Linked DNA regions of Arabidopsis thaliana. The protein of the gene in region 2 interacts with the protein of the main gene of each other region in a pairwise test. Each region holds a gene or a part of one and is shown on either strand. Other genes may lie near its edges.

What was found. Proteins that work in one complex are often made in the same cells at the same time.
Region 1: the proteins of AT5G42420 (region 2) and TET6 interact in a protein complementation assay, tested with the Arabidopsis thaliana proteins (one large-scale study listed by BioGRID).

Annotation. Positions count from the first base shown.
Region 1 is NC_003074.8:3,851,625-3,858,327, reverse strand, and holds TET6 (tetraspanin6), read left to right. Parts: upstream 1-4,461; 5' UTR 4,462-4,613; coding exon 4,614-5,105; intron 5,106-5,485; coding exon 5,486-5,802; intron 5,803-5,962; coding exon 5,963-6,002; 3' UTR 6,003-6,203; downstream 6,204-6,703. Other genes in the region: ACT11 (actin-11), read right to left, coding at 1-40, 153-212; AT3G12100 (Cation efflux family protein), read left to right, coding at 1,058-1,472, 1,565-1,673, 1,811-1,850, 2,087-2,163, 2,295-2,383, 2,727-2,796, 2,927-2,965, 3,061-3,211 and 2 more; emb2738 (GTP-binding family protein), read right to left, coding at 6,348-6,412, 6,492-6,660. UniProt on the Arabidopsis thaliana protein: May be involved in the regulation of cell differentiation.
Region 2 is NC_003076.8:16,964,591-16,973,915, reverse strand, and holds AT5G42420 (Nucleotide-sugar transporter family protein), read right to left. Parts: upstream 5,262-9,325; 5' UTR 5,098-5,261; coding exon 4,959-5,097; intron 4,873-4,958; coding exon 4,688-4,872; intron 4,577-4,687; coding exon 4,376-4,576; intron 4,289-4,375; coding exon 4,127-4,288; intron 4,057-4,126; coding exon 3,691-4,056; 3' UTR 3,389-3,690; downstream 1-3,388. Other genes in the region: AT5G42440 (Protein kinase superfamily protein), read left to right, coding at 1-482; AT5G42430 (F-box and associated interaction domains-containing protein), read left to right, coding at 1,417-2,604; AT5G42410 (SAUR-like auxin-responsive protein family), read right to left, coding at 8,817-9,152. UniProt on the Arabidopsis thaliana protein: Nucleotide-sugar transporter that transports UDP-rhamnose or UDP-galactose and UMP in a strict counter-exchange mode.

The sequences.
Region 1 (6,703 bases), on a different chromosome or scaffold from region 2:
GGAATACAGCTCTTGGTGCATCATCTCCAGCAAATCCAGCCTAAGGAATTGGAAACACATATGAATGAACCAGACAAAACAGCATTGTATCCAAAAATAATAAAAGAAAAAGTTATCAGATTTATATCCACAAAGGTCATGTAAAGATGTACCTTAACCATTCCGGTTCCATTGTCACAGACGAGAGGCTGAATGTCTTCACCATCTGCCATTTTCTATATCCTGTCAAAATTGATATAAAAAATATTAGCATAATTGAACCCTTTATTTTGCAAGAAACAGAGGAATCTTAAGATCTACCAAAGAGAATTAAATTGAAAAAGCTTCATAAACGCATACTAATGAAGAATCAATGACGATGGAACGTTATGGAAATGTGATTACCTTAGAAGTTAGAGAGGGGATCTCTGAGGAAACGAGGAGGGTGGTGGTGTGGTACGGGTGTGTAGTTTTTGAGAGAGAAACGGAGCGAATGAAGAAGAGAATGTGAGCCGGAGAATTGAAGTTTAAAAAAGGAAGGAATAGGCCCGTAATAAATATTGATGGAGAAGATCTCAGCCGTTGATTTCTGAATATCACTTTGAACGAAGGAGGACCCCACGACCAGTCACGTTGTTGGTGGAAACAGCTGTCTTATTTAGCTTTCTAAAGAGAGTAACTGACATTTAATTATTTATTTATTACTAATTAAATCATTTCGAAAATTTGGTAACGTAACTGTAAATCTTCTCTCTCTCTTTTACTCTGTAAAGTAATTTAATGGGCTGGATAAAGTTCCTTAATGGGGACATCTACCTATAACAACCATATTTAATGGGCTGTATAATGTTTGTTGCATTTCATATATACATACACACTAACCAACCCTTTTTAACAATTGTTTTTTTCTTGTGCGGTCAATGCTTCTTGACTCTTTTGTATTCTATGGGCTTCTAAAATTATATATGGGCTTAGAACAGTGGCCCATTGACTTTACTGTATAAGCAGAGTTTCTTTGTACGACTGACTGTTGATTTTAGTATTTGCCGAAGTTGGAACTTTAAGATCAAAGAAGAAAATGGAGAGATCCATTTCCTTTAATCCTCGAGGCGATAACGAGCTCCCTGATGATCGGAGCAGCGATGTCGGATATGCTGCTAATGATCGGAGGCTTGCTTATTCTCGCTCGTTTCAGCAATCTCACGGTCCACGAACGCCGGCGGTCACGGAAGCGGCTAAGCCTTTTCTCGATAGGACGGTCTCGAGCATCGATATGCCGCCGGATATTTACTCCGTTGATGGAAGTGATGTGTTTTTCGGGGAAGGGAAAGATGTAGACATGGCAAAAGTGTCTGTTTTGGAAATGGTTTGGGAGGTTTTTGGAGTAGTGACAAGTGGAAATCGGCAGATGAAGAGACTGTTTCTGCTAATTGCGCTTAATGTGTTGTATTCTACAACAGAGCTCTCTATTGGTATCTTCACTGGTCGTGTAGGTACGATTTGGTTTCAGTTCTCTTTTTGTTTTAGGATTGAATCTCTGAATTGTTGATATTCTTTCTTTGAATTGTTTTGTGGACTCTTACAGGTTTGGTCTCTGATGCATTCCATTTGACATTTGGTTGTGGTCTCTTGACATTTTCTTTATTTGCAATGGCAACTTCAAGGAAGAAGCCTGATCATGCTTACTCATACGGGTGAGTTACAAGTAATTTGATTGGCTCAGTTGGTTAATCCATTTTATGATCTATTTTTCTCCCGAGACTGTAATGTGATTATGCTCAAGTGGTTGTAATTTAGGCATCCTTGTCTTCTCTTTTTTTTGGGTTCCCAGGTACAAAAGACTTGAAGTTTTATCTGCTTTCACTAATGCTGTAAGTATGTTCTTAACGTGTTTTGGATGTCATTTCCAGCTTTAGTGTAGATGGCTTGACTCAGTGTTAAAACTCTTTCCTTTACTGTTGCTGATAGAATAGAGTATTTTACAGCTCGTTAAAAAGATTTGGACTTCCATACAATCTATCTTTTCGTTTTGCCTTTCATTGTCTCTGTAGTTTATCTTTTTGGTTAATACTTTGATTTGTTTAATATTTGACATATGTGTAGACAGCTGTTCCTTATGTTCATGTCATTCTCCTTAGCTGTGGAAGCTCTTCATGCATTTATACAAGATGAATCAGAGCATAAGTAAGTTGATATTTTCACAAATGACATGCCTAGGAGTTTCTATATATATCTCTAGCACTTACTAAGTTTACAGTACTTGTTCCCTCTTGTTCCTTTCAGTAGTGTGATTTACTGAGATTTCCTTTATGTAGGCATTATTTGATTGTATCAGCGGTAACAAATCTGCTGGTGAACCTACTAGGTGTTTGGTTTTTCCGGAATTATGCTCGTGTCAATATTGGTATGTTTTTCTCTGCATTTTAAGTTCTGTTTAGACTTGTATGAATTGATGCTCATACGCTGCTTTATATTTTGATATAGCCTTTGTTGGTGGCTTTGGTATTCATTTGTAGAAATTGGCCACCCTTGTCAGTTTTCGCTTTAAAGCCAAAGAAGTAAGGGTGTTTGGTTAAGATAGAATCAGTACGAAGATTAGTTGAAAGAGAGAGTCAGCATAATTGTAACTGATCTGTCAAACGACTATTCGTTGCTTCTTGAAATTATCTGTCCCTTCTTTACATATCTAAAAACCACATGTTATCTTGAATTTTTTTCTTATATTCATAATATGCAATATGCTGCAGCCTACAGAAAAGCAGAAGATATGAATTATCACTCCGTTTGCTTGCACGTCATATCAGATTCCATCCGCAGGTGTTAATCCTCTCTGCCTTTATAAATTTCAAGCAGAATCGGAGAAAGCTATATAGAAAAGAAAATGCTTCCTTTTGCATCAAACTTATATACAGTCAACATGAAGTTTTCTTTGCTGCTGTCTTTTCAGTGCAGGTTTGATACTGGCATCTTGGCTCCTCTCGCTCGGGTAATACTCGCTTTCTTTGAAGGAGCTAAATGAATAAAAGTGTCTTCTTGCTTGACTACATTTTCCTTTTGCTCCTTATGCCTTGGCTTTTTCAGGGTTGAAAATGCAGAGGTCCTATGTTTAGGATTGGTATCGGTCACAGTGTTTATGCTTGTTATGCCACTCTTCAAAGCCACTGGTGGTGTCTTGCTTCAGATGGCACCCCCAAACATTCCTTCTTCTGCTTTAAGCAAATGCTTGCGACAGGTTCGCTCATAAATCGTTCCTCGAATGTGTACATATTTCCCATTGTTGATCAAACCAGGCTTCTCTTCAGCTCTCTCTCTCTGTACAGATTACTTCTCGAGAAGATGTAACGGAGGTTTTACAGGCACGTTTCTGGGAGGTTGTGCCTGGTCACACTGTTGGCTCACTCAGACTCCAGGTACTCACTTTTCTCCTTTTTTTTATATCGGTTAAAACATGAGCTCACACTAGAAATGGAAATGACTGGGTTTGTTATTTTGTTTATCGGCGTTAGGTGAAGAGCGGAATAGATGAAAGACCATTACTGCAATATGTATATGATGTATACCATGATTTGGGTGTACAAGACTTGACCCTGCAAACTGATTACACCTAAGCTGCATCTGCCTCTTCTTTGTTTTTAAATGCTGATTTGAAGATTTTTGGATGTATACTAGAGATCATGGTTCTTTAGGAATATAAATATTGTGAATTTTCAAGTTGTGACTTTGTGATATTGTTTTGTTTGTTTTTCATTTATGTGAATTTTCAACCACACAAAGACCACAAACCTTTGTATCTTCAAGCTTGTGGATATTTTGGCTCATAATGATTGGCGAATTAAAACATATATCATTTGCTAAATGTGAAAGTAAACACACAAAAATTCAATATGAGCTGAGACAAGATTTTAGCATTCCTTCTCGTTTATTTATACGATAAAAAAGGAAGTGGGGGAATCGGAGATCACATCAAGCTATATCTTAAAAACCTAATATTCCGAGGAATGGGCCACTAAAAGCATCTTAGAAAGAAAATTCATCGATTACGAAATCATCTCCCGTCCATGTCTATATATTATTCTTTGCTTACTCCTATGCTTCATTGAACATAGCACATTTATTTTATTCCACTTGTGATCATCCATTATATAAACCATGATTGCAGTTTTTGGACTAAAAGCTAGAAAAAGTTGTATTCTTTATGGTGTAATGTCTTAAGAACATATTTTAATGAAGGCACTACTTGATTTCTCTTGGTTGTGGTCTGCTCTGTACCAACTCCAACGACAAAAACGTATAATATAGAATAATAAACAAGAAACAATTGTTCAAAAAGACACTTTTATTTGAAAATTATACGGTTTTAATGTTATTGTTTAATTGATTCAACTCAAGAGAGAGAGGACCAAAAGAATATGATCATGAATCATCAAACCATTAACTCTTAACCTTTCCCCTTAAAAAATTCCCAATTGATAAGAGAGAATCAAAAGCCAAAAGTAGAGTTAACCAATATTATATCTAGAAAAAGAAGATTGTAAGATAAAGCTGATGAAATTCACATTGCAAGAAGAGAATCTGCTTACAAAAGAAAGAAGGCAGTGTTAAGTCTCTGATTTCTTCTTGATAACATTACTACTATGTACAGATTCAGCAACACAGTTATTGGGGTCTTAAACCTTCTCACCTTACTAGCCTCGATTCCAATCATCGGAACCGCTTTATACAAGGCAAGAAGCAGCACGACATGTGAAAACTTCCTCCAGACGCCGCTACTTGTTATAGGATTCATCATACTCATAGTTTCCCTTGCGGGATTCATAGGAGCCTGCTTCAACGTGGCATGGGCTCTTTGGGTGTACTTAGTGGTCATGATCTTCCTCATCGCTACCCTAATGGGTCTAACGCTATTTGGTCTGGTGGTGACGAGCCAAGGAGGTGGAGTGGAAGTGCCAGGGAGGATTTATAAAGAGTATAGGCTTGGAGACTATCATCCATGGTTGAGAGAGAGAGTTAGGGATCCTGAGTATTGGAACTCCATTAGAAGCTGTATCTTGAGTTCCAAGACTTGTACTAAGATTGAGTCTTGGACTACACTTGATTATTTCCAAAGAGACATGACTTCTGTTCAGGTACAATCTACTTTATGACATGATTCATGCTTGCTTAACAAATTGCTATAGTAATCTAATATATATCTTATCATATGATAATTTAAGCCTTTGATTTTATTTGTTTCTTCGTTTCTAATCGCGTGTAAAGCAAGCATGTGACTAGAAATGAAAAAGGCAAACGAATTTTTTCTTTCCGTGTGTGTTTTGTTGAATCGTATTTGTATTCTTACTTGCAAACAAAATGATAGTGTGACCTTACCAGTTTTTTGCTGTAAACATATAGTTTTCTCTTTTTACTTAGTTTGTGTTTGGCGTTTGCATTTAGACAAAAATATAGTATTATTGGGGAAGAAAAGGCTTGTTAAGAGTTAAGACGTGACTAATAAAAGACAATGCAGTCGGGATGTTGTAAGCCACCGACGGCGTGTACGTACGAAGCTGGAGTAGTGGACGGAGGAGGAGATTGCTTCAGATGGAACAATGGAGTGGAGATGTTATGCTACGAGTGCGATGCTTGCAAGGCTGGTGTTCTCGAAGAGATCCGTCTCGACTGGAGAAAGTTATCGGTTGTCAACATTCTCGTCCTCGTCCTCCTCATCGCGGTCTACGCCGCTGGTTGCTGCGCCTTCCACAACACTCGCCACGCAGCTCATCCTTACCATCCATCTGATGATAACCGCATGACCAGAGTCCGTCCTCGTTGGGACTATTACTGGTAACCTTATCTCTCTCTCTCTCTCTCTCTATATATATATATATATATCACTTACCAAATGCATGATCGTAAAATGAAAGTTTTGTTTCAAAATTATACTTGATCCGAATTGAGATCTTGGATTTTTTTATTTTTTGACAAAAGCATGTTCTTATTACAGGTGGAGATGGTGGCACGAAAAGAAAGAGCAGCTTTACTAAAAGCCGCATCGTTTTTTTGTTCTTAATCATTTTCTTTTTAGCAAACTTAGATTAAGAAAACACAAAGATAGTTTAAAAATGTTGATGTAGTCCTGTTCCTATAAATCATCAAGAGATTAGTAAGATTTGCTACGAGTGCATGAGTATATGCATATATTTTTCGTCTCACTTGTGAAATATACTCTATGGAAGACTTATTAGAGTTTACTATTCCTGCAATTTCACTTCAAAGCTCAAAACGAAAAACAAACAGAGTAGGTTGCAATGGAGACTAGCTAGGATTGAATTGTATATATATATTGATAGTAATTATTTTTCAATACAACAAAATTACATCGTCGGTTATTATGTTCTTTTGGTTGCAAGATTTCTCTGACGTGTAAGGCCTGCCATTCTCATTGTTCCTCCACCTGCAGAATTTTCCAAAAGTTATACAGATACTGTCACTATTTTCAAAAAGAATTACAACTTCATGCAAAAAACTCGTACCTCCTCCATTTTTGTCAGATCTTTTACGGCTACGCCAAAGAAGCCGAATTGGAGTCCCAGCAAAGCCTGCATCAGTGCGTAGCTGTTTCTCCATATACCTTCTGTACGTATCCGAAAACAGCTTTGCGTCGTTTACAAAGAAAACAAACGTCGGTGGCCTTATTGCTGCCTGCATTATACAACCATTTTATATACAGACAAACAAACCCGAA
Region 2 (9,325 bases):
AACCAATTATACATAGAGATATCAAATCGAGTAATGTGCTGTTGGATTCGGATTTCGTGGCGCATATTGCGGATTTCGGATTGGCGCGAAGGATCGATGCGTCGAGGTCGCATGTGTCGACGCAAGTGGCGGGGACGATGGGGTACATGCCACCGGAGTATTGGGAAGGGAATACCGCGGCGACGGTTAAAGCTGATGTTTATAGTTTTGGTGTATTGATGTTGGAATTGGCGACGCGGAGACGGCCGAATTTAACGGTTGTTGTGGATGAGAAGGAAGTTGGGTTGGCTCAATGGGCTGTGATCATGGTGGAGCAAAATCGGTGTTATGAAATGTTGGATTTTGGAGGTGTTTGTGGTAGTGAGAAGGGAGTGGAAGAGTATTTTAGGATTGCTTGTCTTTGTATTAAAGAGTCGACTAGAGAAAGGCCTACTATGGTTCAAGTGGTGGAGTTATTGGAGGAGTTATGTCGATTTATGTAGTCATATTAATCCAATAGGTAAATGTAATTAGTCTTTTTTATCACACAAGTGAAGTTCGTTACATATTGTAATAATTGGGTAAAATATTCGGACCAAAAGAAGTTACAAAATAAGTTTCTATGTTCTGCTTATTTACGTTTTAGTTTTAGAGATTTATGTATTAGGAACTAGAGTGTTTTGTTTTTTGACTTTACGTCTATGTGCTAAACATCGGCTGAGATAATTAACTTTTAGGATCTTCTGTCAATCTTTAAAATTCTATTGATTTTTGAATGATTGCAAAGAAAACAAAACTTGAAGTGATTCTATCAATTTTAGGTTTCATTTAAAATCATTAGAATTGAGGATTTAGAAAAGGTAAAAAGGCATTTGGAACTGTTTAGTGTTTACCATGACAGATGAAGGAGCACACACACGTACTGTTGCAGTAAAGTGAATAAAAGAAGTTATTCTAAACATGAGAGATTCGTGAGCTTTATTTTATCGTGCCATACAAATATACAATCATACTTTAACCATTGTTCTCTGCTATGAGATAAGAGATGCTTCTTTCTTTCTTTCTGCAAGCATTTTATTTAATTTGGACTCCAAAAATAAAATTAAACACCTTGATTAGACTGTTTAAGAAGAATTCAGATTAATTATCAAGACTTGTTTTCAGAAAAGTATAAAATGAATGTTTTCAGGAAAAAAATATAAATGATTTTATTTTTTTTGGTAAAATATATAAATGAATAATGATAAATAAGGAAAGATACTACAATTAACATATATATACTCATACAATCATACGATGCTTCTTGGGCCTAGGTTAGCGAAAACCATGAATAAGATTGATTAATTAGGTCAAACTTTATCGTACGATACATTATTTAAGAGTCTCACCGATTTTGTGTTCATATCTCTCATCAGATAAGAAAATACAAATACGATCATGAATGGAGAAGAAAACTCAGATTCCATCCCTATCGATCTCATTCTTGAGATACTCTCGAGATTGCCTGCAAAGTCAATCACTAGGTTTCATTGCGTCTCAAAGCTATGGGGTTCCATGCTTTGCCGTCCATATTTCAACGAGTTGTTCTTGACCATATCGTCAGCTCGTCCACGTCTCTTATTTGCCTTTTCAAAACACGGTGAGTGGAGGTTTTTCTCGTCGCCTCAGCCTCAGAATCCATATGGGAAGTCATCTTTTGTAGCAACTGCGGATTTTCATACGAAGTTCTCTCAAAACCTAAACATTTGTAACTATACTTCTGGTTTGGTATATTTCTCTGCTATGTGGATCACAAAGGCAGATGTCATATGTAACCCTAGCACGGGACATTATGCGATGTTACCTAAATTGTTGTTGACGTATGGAGAGACGAGAAGCTTTTTTTTGTTTGATCCGGTTGGCAAGCAATTCAAGGTATTGCTCATGAATAAGATAAACAATAATGAAACAAAGGACATTCATATTTTGACATTGGGAACTAGAAAAGTGAGATGGAGGAAGATCCAACAATGCCCCTTGATCCATATTGTTTCGCATGAATGGATATGCATCAATGGGGCTTTGTATTACATAGCTTATAACATTGATGATTTCTTGGGGTATATAGTTTGCTTTGATGTCAGGTCCGAGAAATTCAAATGTCTAAATCTAAACCAAGACTGTTTTTCTGAACGATCTACTAAATTGATATACTATAAAGGTAAATTAGGTGTGGTTAATTTGAAGTATGCTCATGGCGGTGGATTTCCCCTTAAGTTATGTATGTGGGTTCTAGAGGATGTGGAGAAACAGGAATGGACAACATCTGTGTACACTTTGAGGGATGAGGATAGAGTCGTTAAGGTTTACTACGATCTTTTTATTGTTGGGATAACTGCTACAGGTGAAATTGTTTTGGCGAAGAAAAAGGTATGTAAGCCGTTTTATGTCTTCTACTTTAATCTCGAAAGGAACACTCTCCTAAGTGTTGAAATCCAAGGTTTTGGAGAATACCAAAGCTGTTGTAGTGTTCACGCCTTTGTAGACCATGTAGAGGATCTTAATGTTTACGCCTTTGTAGAACATATGAAGAAAACATATGAATATGATGCAACATCAATAAGCCCATCAGAACAGAAGCTTTAACCCACCTAGAGATGATCATCAAGTGAAGCTCGGTGCTCACCTGGAACAAGTGCTAGCAAATTCAATGCATTGGGTCTTTTTGATGATGGTTAATTTACTGATGCTTCCCTTGCAAGTTTTCTTCATAATATTGCAGTACATTTTTGTTTTATTCAAATCACAACCATGACTGAAGTTTTCTTCATAACATTTATTACATTCTAGCTATTTGGCCTGTGAGTATCACTTCTCATTTGGGAAAAATGTTATTTAATACCTGAACTTTCAAAAAATGGCCAAATTAACCGTGAACTCTTGAAATGGTCGTTTTATACCTCAACAAAAAGTTGACTTCTAATTTAACCTATAATTTATCGTTGACTTCTAATTTAACCTATAATTTGTCGTTGACCCGGCCAAATAGACTCACCGTTAACACTCCTTAACAGCGCTCCTAACAGCCGTTACAAAACATGGCCTAACAGCCGTTATTGTTGGTTTAAGGACAAAAACAGTTGTTAGTTACGCTGTTAGGAGAGCTGTTAAGAAGTGTTAATGGTGAGTCGATTTGGCCGGGTCAACGATAACTTATAGGTTAAATTAGAAGTCAACTTTTTGTTGAGGTATAAAACGGCCATTTCAAAAATTCACGGTTAATTTGGCCACTTTTTGAAAGTTCAGGTATTAAATAACATTTTTCCCCTTCTCATTTACAATTTTCACATTACTTGGGAGCATATGAATGTTTTTATCAGAAGTTCTTTTAAGTCTTCTCCAGTATTCTTGTTTTCACTATCCATATGAATGTTTTATCAAATGGAATATACTCTACATTTGATGTCATATTCTATAAGATAAATAAAGGAATATACTCTTTGAGTGCTACGTAAAACAAGAACATGTGGTCATTGAAGTTATTTCCATGGAATTGGGTAAAAAGATATAAATAACACAAAACATTTGTATAACCAAGGAAACTTTAGATCGAAGCCTAGACACTAATCTCCGAGGATCCGATCTCTTGGTTTAGATAACACAAAACATACAAAAATTATAACAGAACAAATTGTACCTGAAGACTATGTTTCTTTCTCTATCCATCTGTCTCTAATCTTTTGTGCGGCCAAGTTCAACATCTTTTGATTGTGTAGTTTCTACACCTTCCTTCAAAAGTTCAAACTCTTCCTCTGTTAAGCTATGTTTCACACTGTTTAAAGCCTTTGCTGCAATAATCGACTGTTTCTCCAATTCCATTGCCCAACTATAGATTACCATCCCAACAATCGCAACAATCATCCCCGCTACGTTTTTGAAAGTCATTGCAGAATCAAATAGGAGCCATCCAAGCGTGAGGATACAGACGGTTTTCATGTGACCAATAACTTGGAACGATACTGCTGAAAACCGCCCGATGCAAAGGTACTGGCTTATGTTGCAGAACACAGCTAGACCACATGAGAGAAGAATGAATAGCTGCAAATTGTAGAACATTAGCCAATGATAACATAACAATACTAGCAGAGCCATGAAGAGAGATACTTACAAAGCAACCGGAAGACATATTATACTTCATAATGAACTTCCCACTAAGAAGATAATCAACTAAAGGACCGACAACAAGAAGCGAAAAAGCTTGAATCGGCGCTGTTTTACTCAACAACTCAAAGGACCCAATTGAATATTTCTTCTGTAGAGAACCTATTAACTAAGCAACACAGAAGGAAAAAACACCAATTGATCAGATTTGAATTCCACAAGCTTCAAAACCAAATCACCAAACAAAAAGACTTACAATTTGCTGCAAGGATGACGAGAAAATCGCAACACAAGCACAGATAAAACCTTTGGCATTAACTTTAACATCAGTCACAGTACAAATACCAACACCAACAACAACAACCACAACAGATATTTTCACTTCTCTTGAGTATCTCTTGCTATGTAGAATCCATTCCATTACACATACCACAGGAATCATGCTCAGCTTCGAGATCTAATCAACACAAAAAAATGTGAATCCACTAAACCAAAATCAAAGTCTATATATGCTCAAATCAAAGCAATTTGATTCTATATGCTCAAGATCGAGATCGAGATGAATTACTTGGTAGAAGCCAACGGAATTGAGCATGAGACTGAAGTTCATAGCAGCAATAGAGACATTAGCGACAATGGAGAACCAAATAAGCTCCCACATAGGTACATGCTTCGAAGCAGAGAATCCGGTAGCGTTTGATACCATACCGACCAATGCGGTTAAAGCGAAGTGGAAACCGGTGAGAGTTGTAGCTGAGAAAACAGAGATCGGAAAAATCATCAGATCTCAAAAGCGAAATTGATTAAAAAGAGTGAGAGATCGGAGGAAGAAGACGAACCGAAACTAAATGCGAATCCAGAAGAGGACATAAGTTGTTTATTCGCCATGATGATTCCAACGGAGCTTATCACATTCATTGCCCAAGCTCCCATATCGGAGACTGCTGAAGGAGATTTTCTCTCATTCTCCGCCGCCATCTCTGGTCAACTGTCACCACCACCACCGTAGAAGGAGATTTCCGGTGATGCGATCTCGGAGATAGAGAGATAGAGAGAGAAAGAGAGATTCACGCTTTGTTGGAGGCTCACCTTCTGAGAGATTCTCTTTTCTCTCTTTCACGTTGAGAAAAATATCTGACAAATCTCAAATCTGAAATAAATACTTTTAAAAAGGAAGTTGTGTAAGTAGATTTAGTTTTTACTTTACCCGCATCAAAATTCATCATTACAATTACATTAAGAAAATCATTGATTATGTTTTTTTTTTGGACAAGAAAATAATTGATTATGTAGTGACAAAAGTTGTAGATGAGTATTATGACAAAATTGATAATCGAATTTTTTTAGTTGTTGCAAATTTTGATTTTAACGATTTTTTGTAATGAGATTTGAGATTTTCTGTAAATTAAATCTTTAAAAAATATTTCGTGATTTGAAGATTTTCAATTTATTTATTTATGACTAAAGAAACTCTCAATTAGTGGATTAGACAAATAAATCTTGAATTTTGCATTGAATTGACTAAATTATTCACAAACCTTAATCAAAATTATCTGTTGATTTTTTTTATTAACTCTATACAATTTAATTTACAACAAATGTAAATGTCCAAAAATGATATCGTATTTGACACATATATATGGATAAAATAATGTAAACATATTCTAAAATAAATATCATAAGATTGTGTTATGTAAATAATATAATTACAAATATTTGTTTATTTGCATAATTTCCAAATATTTTTAATATTCTTTGAACTTTTTGTGTCACATAATAAATTCTATAACTATGAAACAAACCAACTGTGTGAGAGTACTTTTTAGCTAATATTTTGAATAAAACTATTATTTTCATAAAAACCAATACATATTTATCGAACTGATAATATTATTTTCCCTCTCTTTTTTGTATATGAATATTTTTAAATTTTTCACCATGCATCATTTCTAAGGAAAGTAGGAATAATTAATATGTTTATAATTTACTATATATAAAAAACAACACAAATAAAAGAAAATGACACAAATATATAGTAGTGCTTGTTGACCAGTAACTTAGGCAGATTATGAGGCGAAGGGAACCTCTTTTCATGCTGCCGTTATTTTTGCATTACGCAAAGTCAAAGTCAAAGTCTGTTGGTAACTTTTTGTTTAAGCAGCCAATCCATAAAAGTAAGTCATAACTTTGCATTTTCTTCATGAACTAGTGGAGATCACATTAAAATATTTCGTTTTTTCATGTAAGAAGCATGAATATTTACGATAATGTAACTGATAAATAAAAAGATGACTGGAGAAGTTTTTTTAAAATAATAATAATTAAAGAACATAAATCGATAATACAAAAACAAAACGGAAAGATGAAAAGGAATTATCGTAGAGGTGAGACATTATCAATTTTCTTAATTCCTTAGATATCCAAAAATACAACTATAATATTTTTTCAGACTTATATAAGAATAACTATAGAAGCTTACAACCAAATGAGTTATTAGATCAAATGGTTTCATCAATTCAATGAGTTGAGTTGTAAACTTATAATGAGTTAACATATTAAATATTAATGAGTCTAAGCAGAACTTCTATACTGATTAAATATTATTAATCTTTTCCAAAAAAATATAAAAATATATATACATATATAAACCACACTTCAAAAGAAAATTTAGATTTTCTCGAGAGTTAGTTTTGTAAGTTTTTTGGTGAACATAAGAAAACATTATCTTCGACTTTTGTTGTGAGTACTCTAAGAGGCCTTGTGTTTTAGAAAGAGGAAGTAAGAACTTGGGCATGTAATCTTTTGATTAATTATTTGTCTCTTATTATTATTTTTAGATTGTAACCTGCTAAGTTTCATATGATATGTTTGATTTAGATGCTGTTAAAGAAGTTAAAGAAGGCAGGTCAACGTGAGATATGTATTTGGAAAACCTAAATATAATAGAGATGAAAAATCATTCCAATTTGAATGTTTTCAATATTTGAAAGAGAATAGACATCGTTTTGGTACGCAGACATACATGGTGATGGACGTTCTTAGCATTCATGTTACAAGTGTGGCATCTGAATCTTCTATTAGCATTAGGTCTTCTGTTATAAACAAATATTGAAGCCATCTATATTTATACATTTAATCAATAATTATTTAAGAATAATCATTTTAGCCGCTCGAATACGACGACGAACTTCTCACCAAAAAACCACCCAGCTAAAAGTTGTTGGAGCCTCTTTGTTAAAACAAGTTCCAACATGAATTAGAATGACTCGAGACACTTGATAACTCTTAAGGGTTTGACAGATTTAACTAGACTCAACAAACCTCAACATAATGGCTTTTGAGAGTTTAAACAAAAAATAATTGTATATGATCTTGTACCATTTTCCAGCTTTGAACCACTTAGTGTTATATGCCAGGTTTATTAATTGACCAAAATGTGAACATGATGTCTTGATCCACGCAAACTTTTATTTAACCTTGGAAATGTTTGGTTGATCATTAGTGCTATTAATGAATATACATTGTTCTTCTTCATTTTCTTAAAAACGACTCCATTTTAACACTCACAAAGTAATTTGCCTTTAGTCTTTGTTTTTAATAATATCTCAAAGGCTCAAAACTCATAAAGCATACCTTATGTTAAGAAGATAGTCAAAACTTTGAAATGTACATGTGAAATAGGTTTATGACACGTTCTCAATCCGTGCCCTACAAACTGCCAATCGATTATCATCACCATGAAATAATTTTAATGAACGTTTCAAGCATCATCTAGAGCCTTCAAGCATCATCATTGTTCAAGAAGAAAACAAATGTCGTTCGAGGCCAAACATGTGTTTAATTTTATGATATAGTTAAAGAAAAAAATAGAACCGAATGATCTTAGTTATAGTTTGGTTTGGATTTACATATATACTGGTGTATTTCTGCTTACATCAACCATTTGATTCCTAATATGTAAGATATTAGATACATATGCATATATTGTAAGTCATGATATCGAAATGATCATCTAGCCGATTGTCATGCTTAAGATAGCAACTCGTGATATCAACAAAGCAAAGAAGTCCTTGAATGTAGAAGATAGCATAACCGGTTTAGTTCGATTTACAATTGAACACACTAATTTGGGGTAGACTTATTATTACTAATTAACCGGGCATATTCATCTTTGAAGGAGATTAATTAACTTGTTATTTTCATAAACATTTTTTTATGTGCTTTGTCCAGCCTTTTCTTCAAGCTTAAATGAGATTAACTTGTTCTAAACAGCGTTTTAAAGAAAAATGAAAAGACAGAAGCATCACCAAAATCTGCCAGGATATTCTCTACTAAACAACAATACTACATTGTTATAAGTTCAAGCATGTGAAACGAGATTCCAATTCAGCCGAGAACCATTCACCCATTCTCAATTTGATTCAAGTTATATTGTAATTTCAGATTTGGTTATAAATTGATATATTATTGCATCATGACTATGTAATTTCACATTTAAATTAATATAAGCTTTGTCAAAAAAAACGATGGATATATGATTTGATAAAGTCATTACGAATACTGTATTCGGAATACAAATGTCCATTGGCATTCGACTATGTAAATAAATAAATAAGTAAAGGAAACGAACTTCGTCCATTTTTTTCTTCCTTTTTAAATTAAAGAATGATGAAAAATAAGTGAGATAATAATAAAATCTACAATAATTTTGTGGAATTATTGTGAAAGCAAACGGAATTGTTATGATGATTAGTTGTTTTGTGTAGATTAACCAGTTTGATGAAGACATCAATCTCGCAAGCAATCCTCAAGGCTCCTTCGTACGAGTGTCCGAATTCTTCCTCAGACAACCTCAATAGATCTTCCAACATTGGGTGGTTTAGCAAATTAGCTTCAACTTCTAGCTTGCATTGACTCTCTTTATCTTTACCTACGTAAACCCGAACTCTTCCTTCTTCTGGTAATGCCGATGTTCTCGAAGATGAAATGTTCTTCGCTCCGCACCATAGTAGCTTCTTCACCAAGGTTCTCATTCTCCTTGTAATTTGTTTGAATTAATAAAATGCTGATCTCAAGACTTTTGTTTCTTCTCTTAAAATTTGATAATGTGTGTTTTGTGTTTGTAAGATAACATTGTGAGATATACATATTTATATGTATAAACAAGTGTCATTGGGTTTACGTAGTGGACAAGAAAAAAAGGAGA